Caenorhabditis elegans: one gene and its partner. The protein of the gene in region 1 purifies or fractionates together with the protein of each later gene. This does not show direct contact. Each region holds a gene or a part of one and is shown in the gene's direction. Other genes may lie near its edges.

The links.
Region 2: the proteins of hsp-12.2 (region 1) and gyf-1 fractionate together in Caenorhabditis elegans (co-fractionation; one large-scale study listed by BioGRID). This does not show direct contact.

The regions. Positions count from the first base shown.
Region 1 is NC_003281.10:8,135,925-8,139,680, forward strand, and holds hsp-12.2 (Heat shock protein Hsp-12.2), read left to right. Parts: upstream 1-2,152; 5' UTR 2,153-2,196; coding exon 2,197-2,274; intron 2,275-2,904; coding exon 2,905-3,018; intron 3,019-3,425; coding exon 3,426-3,566; 3' UTR 3,567-3,707; downstream 3,708-3,756. Other genes in the region: C14B9.2 (putative protein disulfide-isomerase A4), read left to right, coding at 379-480.
Region 2 is NC_003280.10:6,682,180-6,685,935, forward strand, and holds the start of gyf-1 (GYF domain-containing protein gyf-1), read left to right. Parts: upstream 1-2,058; 5' UTR 2,059-2,069; coding exon 2,070-2,125; intron 2,126-2,516; coding exon 2,517-2,622; intron 2,623-2,929; coding exon 2,930-3,133; intron 3,134-3,353; exon of another isoform or gene 3,354-3,502; intron 3,503-3,608; coding exon 3,609-3,756. Other genes in the region: ift-74 (Intraflagellar transport protein 74 homolog), read left to right, coding at 1-161, 214-491, 543-653, 702-767.

The DNA.
Region 1 (3,756 bases):
CTTGCGCCTTTAAGGAGTACTGTAGTTACTGAATTTTCATTCATTTTTATACCTTTTTCATCAGAATTGGAAGTATCTGAAATAAGTTTTCAAACAAACAGGTGAAAAAATCCCGAAAATATGAGTATTTGGCAAATACAGTAATCTTTAAATGGGCAAACTTTTTTGCATTTAAGAAAATCGTTCGTTTACCACCCCGACCGAGTACCTTATTTTTGGAGCAAAATTGAAACTTTTCACATGCCGGTAATAATAAATTCCAATCTCATGATATCCCGCCTATACCGTAACCAACGTTTGGAGTACGGTAGGTTACGGTATGATCGCAGTGAGACTTCGGATCCTTGATAGGCCCATTTTAAATAAACTAATTTTCAGAGTGAACCAATCAAATATTCTGGAAATCGTGATTTGGAAGATCTCAAGAAGTTCATGACCAAGCACGGTGTGAAGTCGTTCCAGAAGAAGGACGAGTTGTAAACAATTCAGAAGGAGCAATAATTCTGTGATATTTAAACTAATTTCTCTTTGTTTCTTTGTTATGAGTATTTATTTTTAGTTCTTGTTCATCATGCTTTTTTTGTCACTTTTCCCTCCCCAATCCCATATTCCTCTGCTTTTCTCTCATTTTCGGTTACGTGTATTAATTGAATGTATACGACGACGACAGTCACTAGTTTCGAAATAACTATTTTACGAGGATGAATAAACACACTGATCGCTGAGCGACGCTCCGAGCACTTTTCGAGAAGTTTCTAAGAAGCCACTTGACCGAGAGAGAGGGAGAAAGAAAAGCTTGGCATAGAAATGTGCTTGTGTTTATTTGAACTGTTAAAAGTGTTTGACGGGGGCGAAGTCACTGGGGAAACCTCGAGATCAATAGGACACGTGGCAATTTGAATTTTTGGATAATTGGAAAAGCAGTACCCGACTAAAGATCCGAATTTGATTTTCAGACATTTTACTGCAAACTTGATTACACACGGTAATTTTCCAAAAGTTTTGTGCATTGAATCCCGAAAAACTTCACAAACGCATAATATTACAACCCGATCTATGAGCAAAGTAAATAGAGAGAATCAGGCTGAAAGCTTATTGTGATTAATGAACATTAGGAACAATGCTGATTTCAATTTGAAACATTTTTTTTTCAGATCGAAAATCAGTTTTTTCAGATCGAAAATCACATTGGATCTTGACATTTTCAAGAGAATTATTAAAATTTAAATGGCTATTTGAAAAGTATTGATTTTCTGAAAGATAATAACTACTTACCATCTATGTCGTACCTGACTATGCCAATTATTTTCAACAATTGTTTATTTTAAAAAATTTTTGAAGTAAGCTTAAAACAAACCCAGGACCTCTGAAATGTACCAAGTTTGGAAACTAATTCCAAGTACTGGTAATAACAAAAATTTTGAATTCGAGGCGGATAAGCGCCAGTTGGGAGTTTTCTGATTATAATTATATTAATAGAATTGCCAAAAATCATGATAAACCCCTCCAATCATTTTTTGATTTTCGAAAAAGTTTCAATGTAGGTTTTGGTGAGCTGCGAAGTTTTCCAAAAATGTCTAAAAACTAAATTCATATGGTTCAATTTTTGTCAAAAACGTTCAGCTCATGAGGAGCTTGAAACTAACCAATAAATTTTGGTCATTAAATTGGTCAGTTAAATTGATAATTGAAATTAACCGGATATGTTTGGAAAAATAAATGCAAAAGTTCATGATCATCAGATCAAAAACCAAAAACTTCCCCTACATTTCTATTTCCAAATTGAAGATTTCTTGAAGCCTACAAATAGTACAGTTTACAAATATCTCTCCTTCTTTCTCTCGTCCCTTCTTGCGCATCCTCAGAGCTCGGAGCTCCTATCCGTCAATATAAACAATCATTGTTTCTTTTCTTCTCCTCGTACCTTTTTTCTTCTTCAAATCCATTTTTCCTCCGCCCCCTTATCCTACAGTCCAATTCCTTTCACTCTCCACTTTCTGAGCTTCTTCTCCAACTCGCAAAAGCTTCAAAGCTCACAGAGCATTTTACGATAGTGCATTGTAATGTTCTCCACCCTAGAGTGCATCTCCAACCTGCGCATATGTTTTCGCTCTTTGACATTACATTTTCTTCCGATTCACATTTTATTCATCCACCCGATAAATATATTTTCACACTTTTAATTTTCTAGAGAAAATGTCCGCTATCGAGGTGACCGCTGACGCCGCTTCCACCTGGGATTGGCCACTTCAACACAACGACGGAGTTGTCAAGGTTCGGGATATTTTTTCTCTTTAATAGAAGGCTCTGCAATTTTTATGAGCCAAAATTTAATAAAAACGCTCATTTTTTCTTTTTGGTTAAATTTGGAATATAAACCAACCACGACACTTTAGTAACTTAGACTACCTACTCTTGAAAAAATAAAACAACAATTTTCGAATGACGCTACAGTACCCCTACCTTAACACTACTTCATAGGAAACGTAATTTTTGATATTAATAAGTTCACAAATATATAGTAAATCATCAAATTTATCAATACAGTGAAAAGATGTTGTAATATGTTCAGAAATACCTTAGAAAACTTACTATGATCGCAATAGAAGCTGTATCAAAATTAAAGAAAACTATATTTATTTTGATAGCTTCTATCTGGATTTTCGATAAATTGCATTTGTATACTGGAATGAATAACTAGAATAGATTATGAGTTTTTCATATAAGCATAGTTTCAAATTACACTTGAAAAATCAGCATGTTCTGTAATCATATAGACACACTGTAAAATACAGTACTCTTCGCCTAGAGACGAAGAGTACAGTAGTTTACAGTGTGGAAAAGTACTCTGACAGTCGTAATGTTAACTCGTGTAAATTCTGACTGAATATTCTTAAATTTCAGGTCCACAACACCAAGGAAAAGTTCGAGGTCGGACTTGACGTTCAATTCTTCACTCCAAAGGAAATCGAGGTCAAGGTTTCCGGACAAGAGCTTCTCATCCACTGCCGTCACGAGGTAAGAGTTATAATTGGTATTTATAAAATTAGGAGGCTCCTTTTTCGACTTCAACTCACTGAAACTTACCCATTTTCTGAATTATATAAAATCTAACAAAAGAATGATACCTATGGTAGCATTGAATATTTGTTCCAAAATATCAAATTATAAAACTAAATACAGTAATATCGTCCTTCAAAAATTTCCACTGAACATATGACGTAGTAGTTAAAAGACAACAATATGAACCATATTTTGGGTCTCGCCACGCGGACAATGATTTACAGAATGATTTACAGTAGCTCGTGATGCCGTATCTTCTTTTTCAACTTAAGCAGCACAGATTTGTTTAAAGAAAAATATGCTGAACTAGATAGATAATTCTTATAAATAGAAGATTAATTGTATAACTCTCAACTTTCCAGACCCGCAGTGACAACCATGGAACCGTTGCCCGTGAAATCAACCGTGCCTACAAACTTCCAGATGACGTTGATGTTTCCACCGTCAAATCCCACCTCGCCACCCGCGGAGTTCTCACCATCACTGCTTCCAAGAAGGCTTAAATGTCTAGAACATGATTACAACCAAAAAAAACAATATTTTTCTCAATTGAATAATATCAAATTATTCTTCACTTAAATACTTTACATTTCTTTTTGACTAATCAAATATTGCAATACTTTCAATAAATGTACGACTTTATGTGTTTATGGAAAAATGCTATAAAAAGAAAATCATTTAAAAAAATACAAA
Region 2 (3,756 bases), on another chromosome or scaffold:
CATTTATCAGCAAGACATTGAAGAATTCTCCGACGCAGTTGTACTGATTTTGAGAAAAATATCTGCCAATTTGAAGAAAGTGAATCTAGAAGATCAGATAACTGATTTAGATGAACGAGGTCTCACTTTACAGACCGGAAATGTGGATGAACTTAAAGAAAGTAGGTTTGATGAGCGATTAAAAATAACCCTCATTAAAAAATATTATTTCAGTGCATGTTCGACTTCAAGAAGAGCTTATATCAATTGAGGATATGGAATTGGCGTTAAATGAAGAAATTGATAATTTGGAAACTGAGGAGAAAAAAATAGATCAGGAATTGGCGGGAGTCGGGAAGAATGTAGATTCAGATGGGCTCCGACAAGAGCTTGAAGAACGTCAAAAAAGGCTTGAAGATGAAGCTCCAGCTCGTTCACATGAAATGCAACAGTTAGAAGCAAATGTAGCAAGTATAAGAAATGAACTTCATTCAATTCCAGGATACTCTCAAGTGAGTCGATATGGTTCTATATTAGTTTTACCAATTATAAATTTATTCCAGCACAAAATGCTTCGCGAACGACTGGAAGCTGTTGAGAAACGTACTGCTGCAAAATCACTTGACATGAGCTTGAGGAAGACTGAAATTGACTACGAAGATATTAAAACAGAGGTGTGGATTTTTTCCTAATCGAGTTAACAATATTTTACTTAATTTCAGAGCATTCGACTTCAGGAAGAATACAATAACATGCTTTTGACCAATCCATTTCAAAGATTCACCTGATTTATTAATTTTTCACTAAATTTATTTATTAAATTTACATTGAATATGCTGAACTGTTCCTGAAACAGCAAAAAAATTATTGGAAAATACTAATTAAAAAATTGAAAAATCTTTGCCTACAGTAGCTTTAAGGAACACGACAAACTTTATCTGAACATGTCTCGTCACGACTACCGTACCTTGAAATTTTCCCGCCCGATTTTCGCAATTTTCTTGCTGATGAATTTCTTTGTTTCTTTCCTGATTTTCTCGATTTTTAATCGTGTTTTTGTTTTTAGAATTTTTGGAAATTTGAGGAGAAGATATATATCAAGTATGAAGCACCCTTTCCGCAAGGTCGCCGTAGTTCCTTTTTTGTTTCCGTCGTTTTACCCTTTTCGGCGATCTTTTTGATTGATAACGTTTAAGTAAGGCTAGTTTTAAATTGAGTTTTCTCAATTTTTCTTCAATTATAACATTTCCATCATTTTTGCAGTCAAATAATATTGTAATTCTATTTAAAATATCGTTTGATTATATTTTGAGAACCTTTATTGATTGACTGTTAAATATAACGAATATATTCAACAGCTTAAACAAACAAATAAAATAAGTTCTATCTGCGCGAAAAGCTACAAAGGATACGAAGAAAAGTCAAGAAATCAATTCAAAAATTATGCCTAATTTTACATAGCCTTTTTTTTTGCTTGATAACGATATATTCACAACATTTTCTGGCTAAAGAAAGGTGGAAACGTTTTGTTGTTCTTCCAAGTTGTAGCTCGGGGGGCCGAAAAAAGTAGGCGCGATGCGGTCGACCGCGACGCAACTCATTTCTCTGCTTCTCTTTATTTCAGTAATCTTTGTTTCGTGGCGTGGTCTCGAGAAATAAATAGACGCAGGGTGTGGTGAGAAAATTGTCCGCAACCACCGCCCGGCAGCTAGATATTGAACCAATATCTCACGATAAACTTTTACCCTTTGCATACATGCTAAAATGAGAATTAAGAATACAGTTTTTATAGTAATCTGAACTTTTCGTTTTTTAAATGCCTGATAAGATTAGTTACTCGGGCTTCTGCCACGTAACATTCGTCTCTGCGTATCTCATCTTTGAACAAGCAATTTTCGTTGGCCGAGGTTTTGCGCTGCGGTCAAAACTAGGCCTTTGACGAGTTACACAAGTTGAATCCTAAACATTTTCAATCTGATCATGATAGAAACTTCTCGAATAAGCCTTTTGTCTTTTTTTAATCTCATTTTTGAAAAAAGGATATTGAAGTATGCGTTTCAATTATATTTCGTTTTACAGAACTACTCAAAATGTCGTCAGTTTCGTCCGCCGAGCCAACTGCTCAACAAAATTTCAATCCAAGCTGGTATGTGTTTGAATCTTAAAAAATAATTATTATTTAAAATTAAATGGAGTTTTTTCCAAGTAATCTAAGATATTTTTCATTTTTAACCTCTAGTTTTGAATCATAGAGCAAATGATTTTTAAATGCGTTCTTTTCAACTAAGAAGTTTATCGCTCGTATTTTTTTGTTAAAAAGGCTCTACTCGATCGTGTTTGTAGCAATATTAAAAGAAAAATAAAATAAATAATGCCGAAAACCAAAATAAAACCCAAATTCTCAAACTTGTACCTTTTTTACCACAAATTTGCTGACTGCAGCTGAAAAAATGAATAATATGAATTCCAGAATATAAAAGTTAGCAAAATCAATTAGAAATCCAAGCCACAAGTTCTTTCTTAAAATTGCGTTAAAGTCATTTCAGGATGCGTCCAAATGCTGCTAACCGTGGTGGCTCAATTTCTTCGGGAAACAATCGTTCCTCTGGATTTGGTGGGGGTGGATTTGACGATGGCGGCGATGTGAGTTTCAGAATCTACGGGAAAAAACCAGCACGTTCCACAAATATATTCTTAGCACATCTCATAATCTAGAAATTTAGAAAAAAAAGGAAAATAATTTATTTACAATTTTGTGTTTATTGGGTCATGGTCCCCGTGGTACCCGGTTTTAATATTATAATCGTCTGTCACAACATTACATCAAAAACTAAATAATTATGAATTTAGATTTTAGAATATACCTCTCAAAGTCGGGCTATCACTGACTCCCTCCCTCCATGACAAAAAACTCTTATTTTTAAAAAAAACTGAAAATGTGTTCAATTAGGAAATCTCCTCTTCGGCAATCGCTGCTGCAGCCGCCGCGGTCCTCTCTTCGCCAGTGGTTTCGGAATTCTCGTACACGCGCGAACGTCTTCTCGAGCTGGCTCCAACCGGATCGATTATGCCTGATGCGTTGCGCGATCAGCTATTTTTCAACGAGAAGAACCTGCCGCTCGTCTCGAACACGCCTCTCAGTGAACATGAACAGGTAGGGATACCACAAGAGTTTTAGAATTAGAAATAATGAAATTTATCCCACTATTGTCTGACGATTTCCAATTTTGCATGGTACTTTTTTGATAATTGACAGATTTGTTTAGGATCTATGTTTAGGATCTATATTTTATTATTCGTGTGCACATTGTATTCTAGAATTTGATGTGAACTTCTATTTTATCCAGTTTCACTGACTCTTTCGTCTAAACAAGAAAAGTATAGTGTGTCCTTGGAGGGAGGAAGGCATAGCGAGACTTTATGAGGCTCTTTGCTGTTCGTATCCCACCATTTCACTTTCCTAATGATCGGAGTAATTTGTGTTATCGAATAAGTTTATTTGTTAAACACTTTTAAGTTGAAAATGCTTAGTTTTTTCGTTTCATGTTTATGTTCCGTGGTAGAGTAGTTATTCTCTAATAAAATTTCTAACAAATCCTATTCATGAAAATTATATATTTCATTTTCAGAAACTGCAACACAACATAAACTCTTCGAAAGCAATGTCTCTTTTATCGCACGCTGATCGAGCCTCAATTGCTGCTGGAGCTGCTTATGGAAGTGGATATGGAGCCGCTTCCGGAGCACTTCAAAACGGACAATCACCAACCAGTCGCT